Xenopus tropicalis: one gene and its partners. The protein of the gene in region 2 purifies or fractionates together with the protein of the main gene of each other region. This does not show direct contact. Links are inferred from orthologs where the notes say so. Each region holds a gene or a part of one and is shown on either strand. Other genes may lie near its edges.

The links.
Region 1: the proteins of egfr (region 2) and lgals1.1 purify together in Homo sapiens (affinity purification with mass spectrometry; 3 studies listed by BioGRID and IntAct, with this or other methods). This does not show direct contact. The link is inferred for Xenopus tropicalis from reciprocal best matches to the Homo sapiens genes EGFR and LGALS1.
Region 3: the proteins of egfr (region 2) and eps15 purify together in Homo sapiens (affinity purification with western blotting; 6 studies listed by BioGRID and IntAct, with this or other methods). This does not show direct contact. The link is inferred for Xenopus tropicalis from reciprocal best matches to the Homo sapiens genes EGFR and EPS15.
Region 4: the proteins of egfr (region 2) and cse1l purify together in Homo sapiens (affinity purification with mass spectrometry; 4 studies listed by BioGRID and IntAct, with this or other methods). This does not show direct contact. The link is inferred for Xenopus tropicalis from reciprocal best matches to the Homo sapiens genes EGFR and CSE1L.
Region 5: the proteins of egfr (region 2) and dnaja1 purify together in Homo sapiens (affinity purification with mass spectrometry; 3 studies listed by BioGRID and IntAct, with this or other methods). This does not show direct contact. The link is inferred for Xenopus tropicalis from reciprocal best matches to the Homo sapiens genes EGFR and DNAJA1.
Region 6: the proteins of egfr (region 2) and sptlc1 purify together in Homo sapiens (affinity purification with mass spectrometry, with the first as the bait; 3 studies listed by BioGRID). This does not show direct contact. The link is inferred for Xenopus tropicalis from reciprocal best matches to the Homo sapiens genes EGFR and SPTLC1.
Region 7: the proteins of egfr (region 2) and saal1 purify together in Homo sapiens (affinity purification with mass spectrometry; 4 studies listed by BioGRID and IntAct, with this or other methods). This does not show direct contact. The link is inferred for Xenopus tropicalis from reciprocal best matches to the Homo sapiens genes EGFR and SAAL1.

The regions. Positions count from the first base shown.
Region 1 is NC_030680.2:122,667,265-122,669,982, reverse strand, and holds the end of lgals1.1 (galectin-1), read left to right. Parts: intron 1-562; coding exon 563-734; intron 735-1,823; coding exon 1,824-1,967; 3' UTR 1,968-2,218; downstream 2,219-2,718. UniProt on the Homo sapiens protein: Lectin that binds beta-galactoside and a wide array of complex carbohydrates. Plays a role in regulating apoptosis, cell proliferation and cell differentiation. Inhibits CD45 protein phosphatase activity and therefore the dephosphorylation of Lyn kinase.
Region 2 is NC_030682.2:56,743,987-56,747,975, reverse strand, and holds the start of egfr (epidermal growth factor receptor), read right to left. Parts: upstream 2,801-3,989; 5' UTR 2,780-2,800; coding exon 2,695-2,779; intron 1-2,694. UniProt on the Homo sapiens protein: Receptor tyrosine kinase binding ligands of the EGF family and activating several signaling cascades to convert extracellular cues into appropriate cellular responses.
Region 3 is NC_030680.2:96,281,152-96,284,651, reverse strand, and holds part of eps15 (epidermal growth factor receptor substrate 15), read left to right. Parts: intron 1-146; coding exon 147-255; intron 256-973; coding exon 974-1,009; intron 1,010-2,229; coding exon 2,230-2,546; intron 2,547-3,190; coding exon 3,191-3,260; intron 3,261-3,500. UniProt on the Homo sapiens protein: Involved in cell growth regulation. May be involved in the regulation of mitogenic signals and control of cell proliferation. Involved in the internalization of ligand-inducible receptors of the receptor tyrosine kinase (RTK) type, in particular EGFR.
Region 4 is NC_030686.2:38,128,593-38,132,092, forward strand, and holds part of cse1l (exportin-2), read left to right. Parts: intron 1-29; coding exon 30-127; intron 128-994; coding exon 995-1,145; intron 1,146-1,502; coding exon 1,503-1,711; intron 1,712-1,902; coding exon 1,903-2,000; intron 2,001-2,297; coding exon 2,298-2,383; intron 2,384-3,500. UniProt on the Homo sapiens protein: Export receptor for importin-alpha. Mediates importin-alpha re-export from the nucleus to the cytoplasm after import substrates (cargos) have been released into the nucleoplasm.
Region 5 is NC_030677.2:94,451,940-94,456,080, forward strand, and holds the start of dnaja1 (dnaJ homolog subfamily A member 1), read right to left. Parts: upstream 2,801-4,141; 5' UTR 2,709-2,800; intron 1-2,708.
Region 6 is NC_030677.2:139,054,854-139,058,353, reverse strand, and holds part of sptlc1 (serine palmitoyltransferase 1), read left to right. Parts: intron 1-3,068; coding exon 3,069-3,198; intron 3,199-3,500. UniProt on the Homo sapiens protein: Component of the serine palmitoyltransferase multisubunit enzyme (SPT) that catalyzes the initial and rate-limiting step in sphingolipid biosynthesis by condensing L-serine and activated acyl-CoA (most commonly palmitoyl-CoA) to form long-chain bases.
Region 7 is NC_030680.2:1,078,385-1,081,794, reverse strand, and holds the end of saal1 (protein saal1), read left to right. Parts: coding exon 1-63; intron 64-975; coding exon 976-1,154; intron 1,155-1,293; coding exon 1,294-1,386; intron 1,387-2,392; coding exon 2,393-2,485; 3' UTR 2,486-2,910; downstream 2,911-3,410. UniProt on the Homo sapiens protein: Plays a role in promoting the proliferation of synovial fibroblasts in response to pro-inflammatory stimuli.

The DNA of each region.
Region 1 (2,718 bases), on a different chromosome or scaffold from region 2:
TTTGTCTGCATATCTGCAGAGAGGAATGTGCAGTTAGCCGTTTCTAATGCATAAATAAGATAAACATTTAAAGGGGACCTGTCACCCTAATAAATAATTCCAAATTGTTTTCTATTGTGTTTGTCAAGAAAAATCAACTTTATTCACACCATATAAATTATTTAAATCTTGTTTCCTTCAATCCTGGAATTCACAATCACAGCAAGTAGGCAGGTGCCATTTTGGACATTTTGTTATGAAGATAAGCTTTTCATCATGCCAAAATCTTGTGCCAAAATGGGGGACCTGATGCCCATGCACTGGCTACACAATGCACGTATGCCTAGCCCTATATATATATACATAGTGCTGATAGTAGGGGATACTAATAAGTTTTAACAAGATTCTGTTTTAACAATGGCCTGTCTCCTAGAGCAAATAACAGGACATGGTCTAGATTACATGAGCTCCTGCTGGGCCTTGTAAAGGCACCTAATTACTGTACTGTTTAACACTAATTATTGTACTCAATACCGTTGGTTGTACAATACTTTCTGACATGTATTTTGTTTACTTTTTCAAGCTTTGCAATAAACCTGGGAAAAGATAGTTCAAACTATGTCCTTCACTTTAATCCTCGATTTGACCACCAAGGCGACAACAAGAAAATCATCTGCAACTCAAAGGAAGAAAACTGCTGGGGGAAAGAGCAGAGGGAGACTGCTTTCCCATTCCAACAAGGAGCAGAGACATCGGTAAGCATGAGCATATGATGGTCACATGATTAATGAATATTTCTGTAAAATGGTAGGATTGGCCTCCAATCAAGGCTGTTGGAGTTCAAAATAAAAGTCCAGAATGAAATATGCTATTTGCTGGACACTCTTTGGGATGTGATGCACCCAGGTGGTTCAGAAACCTGTATAAAACACATTTGTTATATGAACTGATCATGTGACTGGTGGATTAAGTGAATGGATTGAGGCCACATTTATGGTGAATAGAATCAGGTTATTCTGAGCATATACAAAATGTGAGAGTGATCCCGTGTCCTGACTATTTTGGACGAGGTGAATGATTCTTTCCTAAATGCAAATGATATATAGCTATCTCTTCCAGAGGGCACCCCTATTAATAGTGTCTTTTTATAATAGAGGGATGAGGGGAGCCAGGTTGAGTGTATTTCTAGTGTAGAATTAGGATGAGCATACTTTATTTCCACTATGTGGGGAATACAAGAGGACATTTACAATGCATAGCCCTTATTTGGCACCTCCAGGTACCTTTTTTATGCTTGTGGTGCTCCCCAACTCTTTTTACATTTGAATGTGGCTCACGGGTTAAAAAGGTTGGGGATCCCTGTTCTAGATACTCCTGAAACCTCAGCCTGGGCTCCCTTTACAGTGAGTTTTGGGATGAACATTTCTTTTATGTTTTAGATATTTGTATCCATCATAATTTTTCATATATATGCAACCTTGTTAGCTAAGGGGGTCCATCCAAATGTTAGACCTTAAACGAGGAAATAAATCCAAAAACGCAAAAAAACACTGCTCTAAGATCTGGTAATATAGCAGCATGAGCGTGTGAAGCATAAGCAAGTAGTTAGAATCAGGGAGAGCCACTGGAATAGCTGTGTAAGGGCCAGAGTAGCACAGGGACTGAGCATTGAGAACATCCCAGTGCTCCTTGTTAAAAGGTTTAACAGCATGAGGAAGAGTATGACAAGATTTGATGATGGATTTATAGTCAGACAAGTTATCCGGCACTGTCTTTCTGAATTAAGTCAGCATATTTGTCTTTATTTGTGTGACTTACAGCAATCATTATCTCTATTTTGACAGATTTGTTTTGAGTATCAAGCAGATCATTTAAAGGTGAAGTTATCCGATGGCCAAGAATTCACCTTCCCCATCCGAATGCCCTTGGATACCATTACATTCCTCTGTATGGATGGAATAGAGCTCAAGTCTTTTTCGCTTCATTAACAGCTCTGCGGCCTCCACAGTCAATAGAAGCCACTAGGCCACATATATAACATGTCATACAGGAAATGTTCTTCGACCCATAATGCACTGTCACTGACAAGCTGTGGGGAGGACTATATAGTTCCTAGTTAGAAAATTTTCTTTCACAAAAGCTACTAAAGCTTTATGTTATCTTATGCAATATATCCTTAGCAGATCTCTCTGTACTTACTATAAACATGAAGTAATAAATCTTTGTTTCATTTATTGTCTGTGCTTGCTCTTGTCTCTTGCTAGTGTTTTCTAAACTCTCCAGGACTGACTATATGCTAAGGTTACCCAATCATGTGAAATACCTGGGACACCTCTAGATATTTCAACTAAAGGGGCTACACTGATTGTTTTTATTTTTAGGCAATTGGTTTGCAATCAGTGCAGCACAGAAAGAGCCTACATTCATTTGTCCCTGGTTTGGTAGTGTCATGATATTTTTCTCACTTAGCACCCTACTGCTCGCTGAGCACCCACAGGCACAGATCTTTGCACTTCAGAATGGAGTGCAAGGACCTGAGTCTTGCTGATGAATACAATGCTCATGAGTTTGGCAGCACTGTATTCAGGAGGGGTGGCACACTGGTGACCTCTATTCAGCCTCCTAATTGCCCCCTAACATCATACATTCAACTACATCATTCAGACATGTTATGAGGTGAATTTGGATGAATGGTGATAGGGAGCTTGCTGCCTGCCTATTTTGGGTGTTTTTGTGCCC
Region 2 (3,989 bases):
CAGCAACTTGATTCAAACATGGAAACTGAACTCCAGCCTTGTACATTTACTATGGTTTCAGTAAAGAGGTCAGCTTGCTTGATGACTGTTGCCTTCCCCTGCTAGACAAGGTAGGTTTTCAGATTAGACAGAATTCCATAGAGATCAGGAAGTGTTGGTCCAATTGTTTTTCCCTGCTGTAAAACTCGTAAGTGATATTACACAATCAAAAGTTTAATTACATTAGAACCATTAGAAGAAATGAACAACCATGATACTAAATCATCACCTATGCTCTGTCCAGGCATGAAGATTTAAAAGTGTATGATCAAGTTATTGCAGGGAGCTTGGTTTTAGTTTTATCTTATAAAATGATTAAATGTGGCACAGTTCTTCGGGCTCACAAATACCCACAGTCATACAGTGTTCAAAGGCATAGCAATTCTTCCATGAAGTTCTGAAAGTTCTACCCAACTCTCTATGCGTAGTAGAGAACTCTCCTATTGTGCCAGCCAGCACTTCTGTATATCAGCCATCCTGATGTTATCTAACATATGAAGATTGATATGCAGTTTTGGGCTGCCAATATTGCACTGTAATTAAACAGATGGACTGACGTAATGTTTTTTTTTGTTAGGCAGTAGAAGGAAGCTGTTTAATCCATCTTTGGCCAAACACATAAAGCAAAAACAGGGAGTCAGGTGCACAGATACCAGGCAGAGGTCTTACTGAAGGAATGTCATAAATATATCATACACACAAGTACAAAAAATCCTTTGGCTCCAGGTAAATATCAGTGTGATATCAGCAGCAATGACATTTGTACCAATTTATATAAGACAAAATATTATGTAAAGCGGCTGAAATAAGTATAAAATATGCAAAACACAAACATTAAATAAAGGTTTCATTGAGATTTGACATGTATTTATTTATTTATACATTCCATAGTGGAATGTTTGTGGCACCAACAGAATTTGCAACCACTGTGGCAGAAGGAAATAAAAATTATGGTGGGGGGACAAGTTTAGTCTAAAGCTGGCCATACACTCACTGATAATATCGTACGAAACCCCGTTTACATTGTCACATTTATTCAGTCGAACTGCACACCTGGAACAGACTGAATTCTATTGCCCCAAGTCAAGACTTCAGCATGCCCACATGACAGAACTGTTAAAGTATTGTTATTTTTACAGTACAAAGTGCAATGTACTAGAACAAATACAAATCTGTGCTTGTATAGCAAGCTCCTGATAAATTCTTTTCTAAAAAGGGTGGGGAGCCAGCATCTTAGCCTTAGTAGTTATTTAGCGGATCCTATTAACTACACACATGACAGTATATGTTAACCATCTGTGGTCTGAAAGAGCGTGGTAAAACAAATTGCTCAGAAGTCAGAGAAGAATTTCACCCACCTACTTATTTATAAAAAAAAAATGGGTTTTGTTCTTAATGTTATATAAGCTACAACACATAACTGAAAACAGAGGCAAGATCAATTTCATTAAAAAAAACAAAAAAAAAATCATTGTTGGACAGTAGCATAGGCTCCCATGAAATGTCACAGATATTTTATATTAAGTCCAGATGCTGGCGTTTTATAACTATACATACATTCACTCACCAGTAAGCCTGCCTCTCTATATATACTGTAGATATATACATATTTAAACACTTGTTTATCTGCTGCATCAATCAATCCATCAAATGCAAATAAAACTGTTGTAAGTTATGTAAATAACTGTTTGTAGTTTTTTTAAGTTCCTTGCTCTTGCCTTATGCCCTGTGTGTGGGTTTTGAAGCTGAAGATGAGTTCCAATGAGGGCAAAGTAACTTAAGTCAGAAAAATTATTCACTATGCAAGCTTTTTATCCTTTGAACATATTTAATATAGGGTTTGCAAACCAGCTAAACTATTTAGCAACCCATATAACAGTACAAAAATACTGTGCAGTTTATTGTTTGCATTAGTGCACAGTATAGGTTATAAAGCTTCTTAATTAAACAAAAAAAAATTTGCACAAAAAATATGCCACCTTGCAGCAGGTCTTACAAATGTGTTATGTGTAATTAAAAGTCACAATGCAATATTTGTCTAATGCATAATATTGCAATAATAGTCAAATAATGCATTGCTGAGCACACATTTTTGTTCTTATTTATGCAATTATACCATAGGATGATTTTTATTACATCCACCCACTAAGTATCTCTTTTATAGAGGTGTTTCTGTAACCATTCTACAAGGACATAGTCACAAGTTTATACACAGGGTGACTACAAATGTACACAGCTCACACTCCAGGACAGTCTCTGCCATCACAAAAGCATGTCTTTTCAAAACACAAGACCAATTTCTCAGGATAATTTTGTAATATTGCTGTCACAGCCCACTGAAGGAAAGGGATTTACTTTCTTGTGTATTTCCTGTATCCTTATAGTTCCCATAGGAGGCACAGGGAGTCCCCTTGTCCCATATTCAGACCAGAGGAGGATTACCTGTATCCAGCCAGGTAGGCTCACCCTATACTCCTGGCTACACTCTGTAGGTCACAGGAAATCAATAAGTGGATGTAGAGAGAGGCAATTCACTAGCCAAACCAACACTGCCACTATCAGAAACGCAGAAAGTCTGATAACCCTTTGTGTGCCAGGGCTGGCTTCCCTACAGGCACAGAAGCAATGAAGTGGCAAGTGAATTTCTTTCCTTACCTTTCTTTTCTTCCAGAGAAAAGCAGGACTGACTGACGAAGAAGACGCAGATATATAATCCCACACTCCGGCTAAAAGACCCCATCCCGAGTCTTCAGCTACCCCCAAGAACAGAAATGAGGATGGATCCTTCCTGCAGTCCTGTGCTTTATCTGCTGCCTCTGACACCGGTCTTGTTTCAGTGACCCAAATCCACAGAACGCCTCACATCCATTGTGAACACGATATATACCCACGGGGGAGCGGAGGGAATAGAAGGAAGCTGAGAGCGTTGGACTCCGAGCTTATTGTGGGGCTCTCTCACATGAGACAGTCCAGTGTCTTCTCTTATCTGGTGTATGGAGAAACAGCAGGGAGTAAACGAAGTGCCAGTGACAGGAACTGCTTATCCCTATTTCCACACTCACTTCCCAGGAGTTGCAAAACTTTTGACAGAACGAGCCGGTCTGTGTGAGTCCCTCACGAAAAGAATCTGGCATGTTTGGCTGCTGTGACATCACGGAGAGGTGTGCCTCATTCCACTCCCCCTCCCACAGCCTTCCTCACACTCCAGGACGAGCCGAGCTACGGGCATTATTATCGCTCACTCCTGGCAGAGCTTCATAGGAGCAAGGGAAGCAGCGCCACCTATTGGTCACAACAAACACAATAGGAGACAATTCGCGCAATAATGCAGTTCACTAGCAAATCAGCAGAATCGTTTATATTTATGAGCAAAATATAATTTTGTAAATGCTGGAGTGCTTCAAAAAGTAAAATGGAAGCTGAAAACTACTGCTTGACAAATACATTTTGTCAACAAATACGTTTTAACAAAGCTAAAGTTTGTCTTTCTGCGATGGGCTGTAAAGCACCACGTCTTCCGCTGTCACATGAAACGCCAGATTAGAGTGTTCCAGGGAATCAAAAATGACACCTGTGACTGTTTGGATCAATGCGGTGCATATTAGGTGTCTAGATAAGAAGTTACCATTTAACTTCAAAATTATGGAACGTGTCAATAAAATCCAGGGCTGCAGTGATTGCAATTAAATGTAACATGTATAGGTGTCCCTGAAATTTCATGTGATCTGGTAACCCTGTGTTAAACAACTGAGCCCCCAGCCCTCCTCCAGCCACCCAGTAAAAGCTGGTAAGAGGCAGATGCCTTTTATGAAGGGCATAGAAAAAATCAAAGGGTCCTTCACTGAGCAGCCAGGATGGACCAAGGGATAATGTGGAGTTGAACCTCAGCTGACAGAAGGGCTGCTGTGAGATGCTATAGAGCAGGGATCCCCCGACCTTTTTAAAAAAGT
Region 3 (3,500 bases), on a different chromosome or scaffold from region 2:
TCTTTAGTGGATATAAAAAAGCACATTAAAAAGGATCTACATTTGCACTGCAGTGTCCTTACCTTTTATGCAGTAGTAGAGTTTCTCTAATGAATCAGCTGAACCTGAAGTGGAACTGAATTAATGTGAAATGTTTTTTTCTGTAGGAGGTCAGTTTTCAGGTTGATCCCTATGACGTGAATCCAGTTGCTCCCCCTTCTGCTCCTGTCCAAGATCCCGGATTGGATTTCTTTCAGAGTGATCCTTTTGTTGGCAGTAAGTCATAGAAAATGTCTGATTGAGAAGGTGTTCAGAATACCACAGGTTTACTTCTTATACAGAAAAATAAACAAGAGTTGAATGCCATAATGGCTCTTCACAAGACTACAGACTGACTGTAGGACATTTCTTGCCAAGAAATACTTTATTTGTAGGTGCCTGATGAATAGATACAGGCTTGAAAAAGTGGTCATTTTAAGAATTGCCTGCAACTTCCTTAAGGCTGACAAACCAGGAAGGGAATCCTCATACTTAAAGGAATGGTAACAAGTGTTTTAAAGTAATTAAAATGTAATGTGGTGTTGCCCTGAATTGGTGTGTTTGCTTCAGAAACACTGCTATAGTTTATATAAACAAGATGCTGCATAGCAGTGGAAGCAATTGAAGTACGGCTAAATGACAGAGGTTAAATAGCAGATAACGGATAAGCTCTGTAGAACATCATTATATTCTTTAGAGCTTATCTGCTATATATGCATTTTATCCCATGAATGGCTGCCCCCATGGCTTCAAAACAGCTTATTTGTATAAACTATCATAGTGTTTCTGAAGCAACACTACATTGCATTTTAATTGCTTTTTATTTGGAAAACAATTATGTATGCTATGTTAAAAAAAACATAGTTCTTAATGTCTGTCCCTTTTAAAGCAGGTTTGAAAAGCATGTGGACCTTACATATGGTTTTATTTGCATATGATTTCATTTATATTCCAGGCGATCCTTTTAAAGATGATCCATTTGGGAAAATAGGTAAATTTTCTTTTTAATTTTTTTTTTTTTTAATGTAAATGTCTGCTTTGGCATGTATGAACTGAAATCCTGTGTTATTGTGGTCTTATATATGGAGGCACATGCACTGTTTCCTTCACTAGTGTAAAAAGCTGATCCTCTGCCTTCCACTACATACATGTGTGTGCGACATGGGATCAGCCCATAATCAATGTGTACACAGAGAGCAGATTTTGATGCGTACTGTACTGAAATCTGCTCTGTGTGCACTGATGGGCTGAACCCTTGCCTAACAGCGCACACATTCAGTTAGCATAACTATTGATTGTTGTTCTTATATTTACAGAGATATATCAATCCACTAGTTATATATAGATAAACCCCATATGTTGTTTTACATGAGGGGTTGTTTACTGATTCCCGGGGTGCAAATGCTTAACAAGCACTCAAGCCTCAGGGAATGCTGCACTCTGGATTAAAAATCTAGAGCTGAGAGTGCACCAAGCAGAGTGTGTTAGGGTAAGGCACCATGGAGTGTTGGTTCTGCTGGTCTGAGCCTTGAGTTTTGTCTCAGCTTGAGAAAAGCGAAGGTGCTCCTGTTGGCCTAAAAACACCTGCTTAAGGGGCCTTATCCATAGGGGGCACAGGCAACAAGGCCCACTGCTGCTCCTTAACTTGCACGTCTGAATGTCGCACCAGTTGGGGGCTGGGTGAGGACACATACATGCCCATCCCCCCTTCAACAATACCATGCTGACTAATGCAGTCATGTAGTCAGTATTTATGGGGAAAGAAGCAGGTCTCTGCATTCCTACTTTGTACACTATGTTCTGTTTTGTTTTAAATTACTCCTATATTATTTTAAATCTGGGCACATAAACCTATTGTCCAAAAGCCTGTACGTTATGAAAGTCTCTGAATATGACACGGTGCATATGAAATAATTTTCTTGAGGGTCGTAGCACAAGTCACCTAAAATACCTTTTCACTAGCCAACATTTTGATGGTAACCCTGACTGTATCCCTTAAAAGCTTAAAAGGAAGTATAAACATTTAGTAGTGTTAGAATGTTTGTGAAGTCTAAGGAGATATCTCTGCCTAGACTAGCAATATATGGCAACACTTATCCATGTATATAAACTTTAATAAATAAAAAAAAAAAAAAAGCTTCTGTTTGAATTGCCACATGTAAAACAAGACTTTTTTTTAAAAAAAAATCTTTTTTTCTCTGTTCCTGACAGATCCATTTGGTGGGGATCCTTTTAAAGATTCCGATCCGTTCGCCTCTGATGTATTTTTCAAACAGGCTTCTGCAGATCCTTTTGCATCTTCTAAAGTGGATTCTTCTAAAGAAGATCTTTTCTCCAAGTCCAAAGCGGATTCTTTCACATCGTCGAATGCAGATCCATTTGTGTCCTCCAAAGCAGAGTCTTTAACATCTTCAAAAGCTGATCCTTTCCAGCCCTCCAGCGCTGATCCTTTCAAGTCCTCTGAACAAGATCCTTTCACATCTGCCAAAGTTGATCCTTTCTTAGCCACAGAAAGCACTTTTTCTTCTGTACGTATCTGTATACTGTGTGTCCCGCACATGTGATATAAAATGGAAGACCTGCTTATGGCCCTCTAGATGATGTTAAGCTTAGACTGTTGTTGAATAATTACTCAGAGCATTTTTGGAATATGAATCATAGCTGTTATTGTATAAATATTCAGTTGAATATTAGTGGGGCGGATTAGCTTTTATTACTTTATCATTGATAAAGTGGAAGCACTGTACCATATGTAAGGTTGTACTCTTTCTGCAGCAACATGTTTTCTTCTCAGTGTTAGTTTTAACACTCTAGCTACTTTAGAAATACCAGCTGATGTGAGCACATATTTTATTGCAAACAGATAATGCAAACTGGCATAATGATAACCCTAAAAGCATAAAAACTGAACTGTGCACTGAACTTTACTCAACCTCTCACTAATGGGAAGGCAAATTCAAATCCACATTAATCCATTTTTATCTAGGAGAAGCATCATGGAAACACTGGAATCTATGTAGCACGGCTGAGTCATATGCATTAGATTTGTTTATAGAGCCAAACCTTCCCACCCCAATGTGTCATGATTAAAACATACGCTTTTTTTATTTTTTTAAACAATAATGTTCTGTTTTTATTTACAATTAATAAGCATATTTTATCTTTTCTCAAGGAAGACACTTTAAAAAATAATGATCCATTTGCTCCAGGTGGAACTGTAGTCTCAGCTGTTAGTGAGTCAGGTGAGTCAGCCTTTCTTTTTCTTTACCTTTAGAGAATGCTGGGAATTGAATTATGGACACATGATGGACACAGTGCAGCATCTCTGCTATGTCTGCATGAGCAAATTGTATTTGTCTTTTGTCCTGCAAAATGTATATAATTTTATTTTCCTTTGTACTGTCCATAGCATTATTTACATCATATTTTTGGCATGAGTGAGATAGTTAAACTATCTGTCATGATTTTTATGGTGTACTCTT
Region 4 (3,500 bases), on a different chromosome or scaffold from region 2:
TTAATGTATACTATCCTTTATTTTTATAGCAATCATGAGAAGCTTTTCATTGCTGCAGGAAGCCATCATCCCTTATATACCCTCTGTGATCAGCCAACTAACACAGAAGTTGCTTGCAGTGAGCAAGGTGTGGTGTTTTAATACTTTTTCAGTGTTTGCACAAATTAGCGGGCCTTTTTTTGTGTGATGTGGTCAGTGTTATTCAGATTATTTTTTTTTTCTGTCAGCAATATTTGTGGTTTTCTAATTACTTAAAGGGGAAGGAAAGGCAAAGTCACTTGGGGGTGCCAAAATGTTAAGCACCCCCAAGTGACTTTAACCGCTTACCTTGTACCCCGGGCTGGTGCCCCTGTTAAAAGAAAATAGCACCAGCCCGGGGCACCTGGAGCGCAGTGCTTCCTCCTTCCGCCTTCCACTTCCTAAACTGCCGGTGGCCGGGCATGCACAGTAGAGCGAAAAAGCCGACTTAAATGTTTAAGTTCGGCTTTTCACTCTACTGCGCATGCGCGCGCAGCGAAGCCGGAAGGAGGAAGCGCCGGCAGCTACCCCGGGCTGGTGCTGTTTTCTCCTGACAGCGGCACCAGCCCGGGGGAAAAGGTAGGAGGTTAAAGTCACTTGGGGGTGCCTAACATTTTGGCATCCCCAAGTGACTTTACCTTTCTTTTTCCTTTAACGTTTTTGTCCTACTGCTGGAGAGGGCCTGTATAAACATGCAAGAAATATAATGCCTAGCGTCACCATCTGCATTCTACATTTCTGACTGGCATAGCCTATATAAGAATCATTGTTGGTCTCCAATTAGTGATTTCATAGATCAGAGGGGAACTTAGAACCACCGAATTGCCATTGGATCAATGTTCGTTTTATGCCAGCATGGTAGATCCTATGGTTTGTGGCAGCATGTATAGGGTTAAAGCAAGGTCTGCTTGCTAGAGTTCAGATAGAAAACTGACTGTTGCAAATAAAACTGAGGTTGTATTCTTTACTCTTTTAGAATCCAAGCAAACCTCATTTCAATCACTACTTGTTTGAGGCCATCTGTTTATCTATACGGATCACCTGCAGAGCAAACCCTGCTGCTGTTGGGAGCTTTGAGGATGCCCTCTTCCTGGTCTTCACAGAGATCCTGCAGAGCGATGTTCAAGGTACAGTATTACAGTATGATATAGAGGTGTGTGCCTTTGTCTGTGGCTCGGTACTGTTGGTTAGAAGTAATAGGTCTAGTTCTTAAGTACGGCTAGAGCCAGATGGATATTGTGTCCCATGGCACAGAAAAAATGTAAGTACCAATGGTGACTCTACACATGCTTCTCACACAGCCTCTACCTTTCAAACTGCATATTGAAATCCTCTGCCTATGTGCCACTCGCATCCCTATTAGAAGCTGCCAAGAGGATTTGGATGCTGAATGTGCTGTACCTCTGAACACATGCAGCAGTCCTATGACACTTGATAATGTAGCAGTCAATTCTAGTAATTCCCTCTCATGCTTTTCGTTTCAGAGTTCATCCCCTATGTCTTTCAAGTCATGTCATTGCTCCTGGAAATTCACGCAAATGATATCCCAACATCCTACATGGCCCTGTTTCCTCACCTCCTTCAGCCAGTTCTGTGGGAGAGAACTGGTAACATCCCTCCACTTGTCAGACTTCTGCAAGCCTACCTAGAGAGAGGTGCCAATACCATTGCTGCAAGTGCCTCCGATAAAATTGTAAGTTTGCTTTATTTTTCTATGAGCAGTATTATCATGCCCATTTCTTAGTGGCCCAAGGAAGACTTCAGTGGTCAATTGTGCTTTGAGGTTATGGAAATCTAAAATGATACAAAGCTGACTTCCAGCTCTTTTCTCTACAGCTTCTAATGTACATGATTTGGATATTAATGATTGTCTTTTGTTTGTAGCCTGGTCTCCTTGGTGTCTTCCAAAAACTCATTGCCTCTAAAGCCAACGATCATCAAGGATTTTATCTGCTAAACAGTATTATTGAGCACTTGCCCGCGTAAGTTAAAAACACACAATTGATTTAATCCCTTGTCTAGTCCATGCCTTTGAAAGGAGTTGGGTAGAAATTACATGTTCTCATTGAGGCCAGATAAATTAAAAATATGCCAGTAAGCACTTGTAAGTTTCCCTTTTCTGTGCACCACTCAGTATGTTGCTTTTATGATATCAAAGTGCTCAGAAATGACATTATTTGCCAAGCAGTCCTGACATTTTTCTGTTGGATTTCTACTTATCTAATTGGTTGGCACATGTGTTTATAAAGTATGTCCTGATTGTGCTTGTGTGCCTGCAGAGAATGTATTGAGCAATACAAGAGGCAGATCTTCATTGTTCTTTTCCAAAGGCTCCAAAGCTCCAAAACGACAAAGTTTGTGAAAAGTAAGTCCATTTGTGTTAATTTGAGTAATGTGCAGTCTGGCGAATGTTTTACTATACCACACATTTTCTTTTTCTGTATCTAAATATGCTGAGCAACCATTGGCCTGGCCCTTAATACAACCAATTGTTTTTATAGTTTACACAGTTCTATGAAATAATAACAGTCTAAAGGCACAAGTGTAGCTGAATCAACTGTTACCAAAATTATATTTAAGTACATGCATTCTCCCCAAAAACTGTTTTATTATAAGTGAAATTTGGTTTCTGCGTGTGTGATTGCTTGCCTTTACACTCGCTATAGCACCAGAGCTAAACAACTGGAATTTTGTGTAGATACTGCTATTCAGAACACATGGAGTTTGCTACTTCATGGTTTCATAGTCTGTGGGGCATGTAGGGGTAACTGGGACACAATCTGCTCCTTTGACCCTCACACTAAAGTAGCCTGGGATGCTATATGCTGTACAATGTTTATATTATATACTTGTGCTTATGGTTTAAGCACCTCAGTGACTTCTAATATCCTTATCATTTACAGTAGGGGGTACATTATCCCTTATAATACATGAGTGATACTCAGAGTTCCCTGTATAACTCAGCCTGCAGCCTTGTGCCTTTATATGGTCACAGAACCCCTCAGTGACTGCTAATATCCTTATCATTTACAGTAGGGGGTACATTATCCCTTATAATACATGAGTGATACTCAGAGTTCCCTGTATAACTCAGCCTGCAGCCTTGTGCCTTTATATGGTCACAGAACCCCTCAGTGACTGCTAATATCCTTATCATTTACAGTAGGGGGTACATTATCCCTTATAATACATGAGAATATATGTATTCTTAGTAGAGTATACATTGTAGCTAGTAAGTTACATTATTAGTCTATTTTATAGTGTCATAATTCTGTTCTTCAGTTAATGTGCTTTCATATTGAGGTGTGTGCTGCGTGTACACAAATCGTTTCTATATTGTTCTATGTTACAATTAATTTTATTACCATGGAAATAATTAAATCCTGGCCCAAAATGATACATTGATGTGCACAGAAATCCTCCAGTGCATCTGGTTATTGTTGAGTCACTGATTATAGAGCCATAAAATGGTTGTAATATTG
Region 5 (4,141 bases), on a different chromosome or scaffold from region 2:
CCAGCCACCAAAAAACTAGCTTGAGCAGTTCCTAATATTTTGCCACCCGCCCACTGAGTTAGAAATCAAATGAGTCGCAAAAGGCCACATTTTCAATGATAATCAGCCAGTGAGCTGGACCCAGGCAATTAGCATTCAAATCAAAGCAGTTTCCTGCAGAGATGAAGTCACATGGGTGAGCTGGCACATAGAACCTTTTCTGCTGCCATTATCTGGGAGAAAACATAGAAATCTGCAAGCTTTTACACGGTAAAGTTTTACATTCTAATTTTTGGGGTGTTTGCACTTAATAAATACCAGACATTCGAGTTTTTGAAACAACTCAAATTTGAGGTTTTTTTTTTTTTTTTTTTTTAAAGTGCCAAAATACCTAAATCGAAAGGAAAACAAACTCGACTGTTGATAAATCCCACCTTAGACCTTGTGTGAAAAAAAAAATGCGAAATGCTGTCACCACTCCATTGGGGTCATTTAGTTAATGAAGTGCAATTGCAGTCAGTTGCACAAAAATTACCCTTCTTTGAAGTTACTTACATCAACATGCAGTCCTTGCACTTCTGTACAGTTGCGCTCTGCACTTCTGCCTGTTTTGAATTGCACATAGTTGTGCCTACTGATGCAGGGAGAACCCTAGCACTACTGCCATCTCTGAACCAGGCAGTAGCTTCAGGGTACTCAAAGTTGCCTACTAAAATAGGTGCAGTGCAGAGGCACCAAAAGAACCACGCTAAATCCCAGATATAACATCTGACAGATCAAAAAATAAAATTGAAGATATAGATGGGGCACCAACACTTAAATAAAAAAATGCAAAAATAAATTGTGCATGAGGGTGTGCATGATCAAAAACATAAATGCAATTTAGGAAGAGAGAATATCAATTTTCTTTCTTTCTTCCTTAATTGCAAAAAATAAAATTTCAGTGTTTACGATTTGCATCAAACGAAGTCATTTTTGACACACAACCCATAATCCTGTCAACTCTCCCTGGCAACCACAACAAAGCAATGGAATTCTGTGGGGGGGGGGGGGGGGGGAGCTTCCCAGTGGGTAGAAAACATGGTGATTGCATTTGGAAGTGCACTCTGTATCTGTGGTATCTTAAAGGAACAGTAACATCAAAAAATTATTATGTTTTAAAGTAATCAAAATATAATGTGCTGTTGCTCTGCAAAAAAAAATTGTGTTTTTGCTACAGAAAAGCTACTTTATAAATAAGCTGCTGTGTAGCCATGGGGGCAGCCATTCAAGCTGGAAAAAAGGCACAGGTTACATAGCAGATAACTAGTTGATAAGCCCCATATAATGAGGGTTTATCTGTTATCTGCTAAGTAACCTGTGCCTTTTCTCCTTTGAATGGCTGCCCCCATGGCTACACAGCAGCTTACTTATATAAATTATAGTAGTCTTTCTGAGGCAAACACACCAGTTGTACCAATGCAGGGCAACAGTACATTATATTGTAATTACTTTTATACACTTTCATTTTTTGGTGTTACTGTTCCTTTAATGACCCCTTGTCTGTGTCTGCCAAGCTGCTTTACATTAAAGTAACAGTAACATCAAAAAATGAAAGGCTACTCTAGTTTATATAAACAAAGCTGCTGTGTAGCCATGGGGGCAGCCATTCAAAGAAGAAAAGGCACAGGTTACATAGCAGATAACCGATAAGCTCTGTAAAATATAATGGAGCATTATTTGTTATCTGCTAAGTACCCTGTGCCTTTTTCCCCCCAATCTGAATGGCTGCCCCCATGGCTACACAGCAGCTTATTTATATAAACTATAGTAGGAAATCTGTAGCAAACATGCCAGTTTTACCAGTGCAAGGCAACAGTACATTTTAATTACTTTAAAAGGCTAACATTTTTTGGCATTACTGTTCCTTTAAGTAAATGTGTAAATTGTATAATGAATATGTGGAATAGGTAACAGTCTCTCTGCAACATGTAGGAAGTTGAATTGCATTGATCATCATAAATAATCATAAGTTAAATAATCATAATCATAAATAAAAGAAAAAAATAAACCAACAAAATATGACACCAGCACTACTGTTAAACTACAGAAATCCTGGTAATACACTTTGGGACAACGTGCATAGAAATAGTTAATTCTCACAAAGTGGTCAGACTTCTGAAGGATGCCATGGGTTTTGTACCGCTAAAACCTATGCATTATGATGTATTTCATGTGTGGATACACTTATGCAATTCTCTTAGCAACACAATTAGAGGTGGGTCACTTTTCAGGCATTCATTGCCTAGAAACACTAAAACCCGGTATTGATCCAAAACTGAGCCCCAGGGAGCCTTCAATCAGGAGAAAAGAGCAATGAAACACTGACCCCAGTCAAATGACCAACACTGCCAAGTCACGTGACAAGAGAATAGCCAACATCAGGCACCTAGCTCAGTACCTCCTCGCCGACCAAAGACGAACCCACATAACCTCGGACCGACAAATGTGATATCATAACCCAAAGGAATTTAAAAAAATCATAGCCAGGCGTACTATTCATTAGGGAAAAACGTTAGAGTTCAATTCTAACCTGCAAAAAATATAGTCAATAACCGCTTACATCCAAAACTCGCTCATATAAAAGCAACGACTACGTTTGAGACAGAAAACACGGCACGTGTTCCATTTAGCTGGGATAAAAAAAACAACAAAATCAACAATAAATAAATGTATTAATGCCTTCATACCCACGATAATGCACTGTATATTCAAGGTGGCTAGCGGTCTTCTCCGTCTAACAGCTTCTAGAAGGATCGAGGGAACAAGAGTCACATCCGGGAATCTTATGTAAAAGGAAAGAGAAGGGGGTGGTGAGACCACGATGACGCCTAGAGTCCGGAACCGGCAAATACTCAGGCTCCAATCCAACTGCGCGTTAGTGAGGGCGGGAACGTGCTGCCAATCGTGCCTGATGCGGTTCACTGCAGCACGCCTTGCGTTCCAACCGCTACGTGGCACTGAAATCAGTTGAATTGATTGACGACCACGTGAATTCTAAGAATTGGTATGGTTAAACACCACGAAAAACGCCTAATGATTTTTTTTACACTCACATACGTGGTGTTTTATCAGCCTTTTAAAATACGTGTCTGTCATATTAATGGCCGACAGAGATTTGCGTCCACTTGTATTCCGTAGGTCATAGTATATGCAGGCTCCGCCTTGTAGTGTATAGCTGTTGATGTTTCGTGTGTACCCACGCTAGGTAAGATTGTACATACATATATTTATACAAATTTGCGTCTTTGGAATTGTCTTAAGGGACAGCTTCCCTACCGAATAGCTGCAAGGCTTCACAGAAACGTGATAACTTTACAACATATAGCCATGCCGTTTAAAGAGCGAAGTTGTCATCTCATCAGAAGGGATGCTGCTTCTTTGTGACTGCAATAGACAATTCCAAGTTGCCCAGGGTCCAATATTGTAATCAGAAAACATGGGTCAAAGGCAATTTTTCATTACAAACAAGTACATTTATTACATGCCGAATACCCATGCTTTAAGCTTATCATATGAGCAGGACTACAAGGAGAAAACCAAGTGGAAATTGGTGGGCATAATTTACGGTTAATAGGGCTTGCAGGACATGAGTACAAGCAGCCAGCCTTGTATGTTGGTTGTCAACAATGGTTCTGTGGTTCTTGCTCCCTTTAAAAAGTTTATTGTAAGGTGCATTCATACATGGTTATCATAGCATTTCATCAGCCTTTCTATTCCCTTTATCAGCTTGTTCCCTCTTCTTTGAACTCTATCAATAAGGCTCTAGAGACCAAAACTGCTGCATATTTAAAGGAACAGTAACACCAAAAAATGAAAGTGTATAAAAGTAACTAAAATATAATGTGCTGCTGCCCTGCACTGGTAAAAGTTGTGTGTTTACTTCAGAAAGTCTACTATAATTTATATAAATAAGCTGCTATGCAGCTATGGAGGCAGCCATTCAAAGGAGAAAAGGCACAGGCACATAGCAGATAACAGATAAAACACTATTGTACTCTACAGAACTTATCTGTTATCTGCTATGTAACCTGTGCTTTTTCTCCCAGCTTGAATGGCTGCCCCCGTGGCTACACAGCAGCTTATTATATAAATTATAGTAGTGTTACTGTAGCAAACACAC
Region 6 (3,500 bases), on a different chromosome or scaffold from region 2:
TAGCTGTTATGGTATAGTATATCACTGGCATAAATGGGCAAAGGTGGCCCACAAAGATAATGGAAATGGTCAACTTTTTTTTTTTTTAACCCTTTCAGTCCTTTCATTACCCCATTATAAGAAATCTGCATAATTCAGCAAAAAATTTAATTATTGTCATAATCTGCAATTCTCACTATTGTCACTATTGTAAGTCTAAGCACTCCGGTATTATTTCAGCTACATTAATAAATACCTAGCATAGATTTCAGTATTGGCAATATATCTCCTCTATCTTGTGTTTAAAGGTTTCTCTCGACCTGCTTATTCTAGGATTGAATGCTTGGGGGATAACCGGTATTAAAGTTGGCCTCTGCCGCCAGTGTAGAAATCCAAATCCAAAATGAAGGCAATAATACCCATATGGTTGCAGTGGGGGTATTCCCAATTTTTATTGCGGTGCTGAAGACACACACAGCAGGATCAGATGTTTTGTGACAATAGAATGCCGTCCTGCGGGAGGGCAACCTCTCACTTTCCATCTTTTTATTACTTTTTCTTTCTGTTATTCAAATAGCACACTCATGTCAAACTCATGTCCATCTCCTCTAGAATAGCCAAAATTATTGTTAGTGACACCTAAACATAGAACAGTTCGCTAAATCATAAAACTTCTGTAATCTGCCAGATATACTCAACATCTGTTTCATTATGAATACTTTGGGTCTGTTGAAATTCTAGAATAGTGACGCCATTGTAATATTTCCTTAATTGTACACTTCTTCAGCAATAATACAAATAGGTGCATGAGGTGCTATTGAATGAAGCTGGGCATTTTTATACTTTAGTTACCTTTTTGGGGAAAAAAAAAATCTGGTTTCATGTATCTTGGCTGCATCAAGACCATTATTTTCTGTACAGGCGTTTTGGAGCCAAATACATTTTCTCCTACTGTAAAATTATTGGAGTGAAACTGTTCATCTCTAAACAGTCAATTTATCTTAAAAGGATTATTTCCGATCAGCTTCTGTGTTCCTCATCAAGGCTTTTTGAATAAATCCAAGTGATTTTTGCCATATACAAACCAGGAAATGTCTGATTGAATCTACAGCTTTCTTGTACTACTTTAATTTACATTTTGGCAGAAAACAACTGTGATCATCATTGTATGAAACTTTCTCCTTCTGGCATTGTGCTGTTTGTAATGTGAGCAGATGTCTTGGAAAAAACCTAACAGGCAGAGTTTTTCCTATTCTCTTTATAATGATGCAAATACAACAATATTTGTGGGTACTTTATTCATGGGTTAACCCTTTCCTTAAATATTTCAGTTAACTTTTAGTATGATGTAGTGAGTAATATTCTGAGACAATTTGCAGTTGGTCCTCCGTTTTATATTTTTAGTTTAATTTTTTGACTTTTTGGTTCAGCAGCTCTCCTGGACTTTTAGCAGCTGGTTGCTAGGGTTCAAATAACCTTAGTAACCAGTGAGCAGTTTAAATGAGACTGGTAAATGAATAGGAGAGGACCTGGACAGAAATAAGTTATGTAAAGTAATAATAATACATCTGTAACCTCACAGAGCAATAGTTTTTTGGCTGCTGGGGTCAGTGACCCCCATATGAAAGCTGCAAAGGTTTGGAAGAAGAAAGCAAACAATTTAAAAACTATAAAAAAAAAAAAAAAAAATACTGAAGACTAATTGAAAAGATGCTTACAATTGGCCATTGTGTAAGATACTAAAAGTTAACTTAAAGGTGGGTGAACCACCCCTTTTAATATACCTCATTTCTATAATTATATGTAACAAGTAGTAACTGTAATTAAGTATAGGGCATAATTTAACTGTGCTAAAAATAGAAAGATATTTAAAGTTATCAAGGTGTTCTATGATCTCCCATTTTGGAGCTACATACTCCGATAGGGCTAATTTATGCACCAACAATTAATTTATTGGGTTTCACAGTTCAAGTTTGTGTAAACTGCCCACCAAGCCAGCAACATTAAAGTTGCATTTTCTTATTGAATAGTTTATTGAACAAACACGCAGGGTCCAAGCCCCGCTTGCATTACACTCGTTGTGCTGGTCAACTATTTTTTGCTGGATTGTGCTGGGAGTGCCGACTCTCTGGGTGTGCACTGAGTAAGAATTGTTGGAGGAGGTAAGGGTGTGCTGGGTGAACTTTCTTTGTTGCATTTTCTTATATGCCATTTTCTCCCCCCTAGAAATTTATTACGATATAGCAAATTAGATGGACAATAAAAGCCCAATTATAGAGAATCCATTTTCCAGTGACATTAAGCTAAGGGTGAAGGAGAATTCATATAATTAGAGGGCCTCTTGTTTCATTCTGGTGACTATTATTTTAGTATTAAAACTGAAAATAAGGACTGGCTCCTGGTTTTAAGAACGGATTTTAAAATGTATAATGTGCTTCAGAACACAACCGTGGCAAAAGTTTTAAGGGCAACAGCACTCTAAATGTTAGGCACCCCCAAGTGACTTTAATCGCTTACCTTGTAACCCGGGCTGGTCCCCCTGTTAGGAGAAAACAGCAGCAGCCCGGAGTACCTGTAGCGCAGCTCTTCCTCCTTCCGCCTTCGCTTTTGGAAGGACTAAAGACAGGCGCATGCGCAGTAGAGCGGAAAGCCGACTTCTCTGTTGAAGTTCGGCCTTTTCACTCTACTGTTCATGCGCGTGCACGCGAGGAAGCGCTACAGCTACCTCGGCCTCGGTGCTGTTCTCTCCGTACAGGGGCACCAGCCCGGGGTATGAGGTAAGCGATTAAAGTCACTTTGGGGTGCCTAACATTTTGGCACCCCCAAGTGACTTTGCCTTGCCTTCTCTTTTAATTCTTTACACTGGAAAGAATTGTTCTCAACAAAATAATTTCATGCTTTGTGCATAATGGGGAAATGGGCTTTCGTCATATAGGTTTTCATCATGGCAGTTTATAATAATCTAAAGTTTGTGCACTTTAATCAAACTAACAAAGAAAGTCGCTACTTTTTATTTAGTTTAAGCGTCAACCATTAAGAGCTTACCACTTTAGAAACTAATTTTCAAATTTGTGTATGCTTTTCTTCAGCGATGAGGCTGCATGTTTTGCTATTCAAAAAGGCTTACAAGCATCACGAAGCAGTATCAAGTACTTTAAACATAATGATATGGATGACTTGGAGAGATTACTAAAGGAGCAGGAGCTGGAGGATCAGAAGGTAAATCTAAACACAAACATATTCCACAAAAATATATTTATTTAAAGCAGTTTGAGCTTTACAGCTGAAAAAGAGATTAAGGTAGGCAGATTGTCACTTATAGCAAACCAGTGGTCTGCCTGTGAGGTTTGTTTACATGATTTCTAATCTGGTTGGCTGATCACCTCTTTCTGGATATGAATGGGGTCAGGGGTCAGTTTGGAGTAAATTGAGAACACACCTCTTAAATCTGACGTAACAATTCGATTTGTTCTCCTAGACTGGTCCTATGACTTAATTGCATATGATCCCTGTTTAGGAAG
Region 7 (3,410 bases), on a different chromosome or scaffold from region 2:
TGCTGGCAGTTATGTCGGCCATGTTTGTGTGGCGGGCAGAGCAGGGGCACAAAGTGGAGAAGAGTGAGTATCACAGTTATTCCCTACAGTACGGGGCAGATGGTGGCGCTGTTCAGTTAAGTCCTATGGGACACCCTGAGAGGTGGTGCTGCAGTGTGTAAACCCTCGACTCTGAGAAATGTCTGAGCCAATGAGCTGCATTGGTTCTGCCCCAATCCCAGTATTTTCCTGGCGAGTGATTGGAGCTTCTGGAACCTGGGCGCCACATTATCAGATAGCCACTAGGGGGCACTGTGAGCTTAGGCCCAGTATTCAGCATTCTCTAAAGGTGGCCATACACGGACCGATTTTTTACTTACAAACGACCGATTCCCGAACAATCCGATGCTATCGTTAAGTTATCGTATAGTTGGTGGTGTACGAACGATCGTCGGCCCACTAAACGAGCCGACATTATCGTCCCCAAAATCGATCGGCCAGGTTTAAAAATTTTGGTCGTTTAACGATAAAATCTGCCAGTTGGTGTGAGTGTCAGACATTTGTCTTTCAACGATTGTTCTCTGCGCATATCACGATTGCCAGCAGTGGAAGTCAACGACATTCGATCGTACGTAGATGTACGATCGTACGTATTTTACGATAATGATGCGACGAAATCTTTCCCGAATTATCGTTGCCCGTGGATGGCATATCGTATGGGAACTCGATCGCCATACGATCGTTTGTCGATATAATCGTTCATCGCACAACGAGCGAAATCGCCTCGTGTATGGCCACCTTAACAGCAGCTTTAGTGGGAAGTTACCATTCTATGTACTGGGGTTATGGGTGTTGGGGTGTCAGGGTGACGGTACCAAGGCTTACTTGCCCCTTTGCACCACGCAGGGCTCCTGTTCTCCCCCCCCCCCTACAGTGTGTTTCTGGGGGGCAGGAGGGTCACTCCTGGTCCTTAAATTGCACTTGTATTTCTGTCAGGTTTGCCCCTAATCAGCAGCCTGGCCCAAGTTCTGGAGAACCTGGAGGAGTGCCGGAAGAAGTGCCCGGAGAGTGACGCCCGCGAGGGCCCAGACGCTCGGCAGGACAATTCCCATTTACAGATCCTGAAGGACGTGAGCTGCGAGTTCCTCTCCAACATCCTATCAGAGCTCAGCAAGGTACAAACATGGCCTCTGCTTCTTCCTCATTGGTTCCTATGGCTCTGGTGTACAGAGGGCCTATCATTTGGGTCTTTATCCCAGGTTCTGCCTGGGTCTCGGTCCAACTGTAGCAAAACTCCCTGTCTCTTCTCTCCAGGACAGCGTGTTGCAGGGCATCAGCCTGGGGCATATTACTGAGCGGCGCTGCCAGTGTGCCCTCCGGAACCTTCTGCCCCTCTACAGCACCTCCGTGAGTACTGCTGTGCCAGCCTTTGTGCCCTATGTAATATAATCTCAGGGGGTGAGTGTGTGTGCCCTCGCTCAGGGGGTGAGTGTGAGTGTGTGCCCCCCCCTCAGGGGGTGAGTGTGAGTGTGTGCCCTCGCTCAGGGGGTGAGTGTGAGAGTGCTCTCTCAGTGAGTGTGTGCCCCCCCCCCTTCCCTCGGGGTGAGTGTGAGAGTGCTCTCAGTGAGTGTGTGTGCCCCCCCTTCCCTCGGGGTGAGTGTGAGAGTGCTCTCTCAGTGAGTGTGTGTGCCCCCCCCCCCTTCCCTCGGGGTGAGTGTGAGAGTGCTCTCTCAGTGAGTGTGTGTGCCCCCCCCCCTTCCCTCGGGGTGAGTGTGAGAGTGCTCTCTCAGTGAGTGTGTGCCCCCCCCCTTCCATCAGTGGGTGAGTGTGAGAGTGCTCTCTCAGTGAGTGTGTGTGCCCCCCCCTTCCATCAGTGGGTGAGTGTGAGAGTGCTCTCTCAGTGAGTGTGTGCCCCCCCCCCCCTTCCATCAGTGGGTGAGTGTGAGAGTGCTCTCTCAGTGAGTGTGTGTGCCCCCCCCCCTTCCATCAGTGGGTGAGTGTGAGAGTGCTCCCTCAGTGAGTGTGTGTGCCCCCCCCTTCCATCAGTGGGTGAGTGTGAGAGTGCTCCCTCAGTGAGTGTGTGTGCCCCCCCCTTCCATCAGGGGGTGAGTGTGAGAGTGCTCCCTCAGTGAGTGTGTGTGCCCCCCCCTTCCATCAGTGGGTGAGTGTGAGAGTGCTCCCTCAGTGAGTGTGTGTGCCCCCCCCTTCCATCAGTGGGTGAGTGTGAGAGTGCTCCCTCAGTGAGTGTGTGTGCCTCCCCCTCAGGTGGTGTGTGAGAGAGAGAGGGTGTGCTTCCCCCCTCAGGGGGTGAGAGTGCTCCCTCAGTGAGAGAGCGAGTGTGCCCTTAGAGAGCGTGAGTGCTATATACACAGATAGTGCAGAGTGCCCATTCTGCCCCTGTGTTCCCTTGTAGGTGGGCACTTTCCTGGCTGCCGTGGGTGAAGCTGACCGGAGCTTGGCTGATAAGCTGCGCAGAGAGACCCCCGTCCGGGCAGAACAGACGTGAGGACAAGAGACACTTCCTCGGGGGTAGATTTTCCTGCTGTGCCGCCCCCTGGGTAACAGAACTTTATACCCCTCCACTCGTTCTTGTGCCCCAGCCAGTGGCACAAAGGGTTAAATGCAAAGCGCTCAGGCCGGGGTATTAGAGGTCTCTCTGGGCCTGTGTGACCGGATCTGTAGAACCAGACTGTTCCCCTTCTCCCACCACCCCCTGCTGCAATAGGGGGGCACTGTGACAGCCATTCTGTGCGTTTCCATTGGCTGTGTGTGTTCCTGGGTATGGGGGATTATGGGATACGGAGAGGAGGGGACTGGCACACGTATGGTTAATAGGATGAGGCTGCTCATTGGTCGGGAAGAACCGACTTTTTATTCCCTTGTTGCCAGAAATGTGAGAGAATAAATTAGATTTTCTATTTTATCCCTAAATCCTCGTGTGGCTCCTGCCTGCTGCCACTAGGGGGCAATCATACCCGGGTAACTACCCTCCAACCCCCCACCTGTGTGTGGGACTCCTAAATGCCTGACACGGTGTTGGGGGGGGGGGGAAGGGAATATCTGCCCCGTCAGGTGATGGGGCATTGGGGTGCATTCCAGAACTTGTCCCATTGGGTTGGTTCTGTAGGCAGTGGTGGGCCAAGGGGTACTGGTTCCCAAGGAAGGGTGCTTGTGCCCATTCAATACAGAGGGAGGGGGTTTTGCAATAAATGATTTTCCCAGTTGGACCTGCCCCCCCAGGGCACATGTTTTGCTGCCCGCTTGCGCTGGCATGACTGGGGCAGATTTGGGCGGTGCCACAGCAGCAGATATAATGACCCCGTGCCACCTGGGCTGAACTAATAACAGCGGGAAGGTGGGGGGGCATGGGCTCAGGGACTGAGAATGGGGGCACGTGCCAGCCAACCGGATCTCAGAGATTAGTGGCGCTG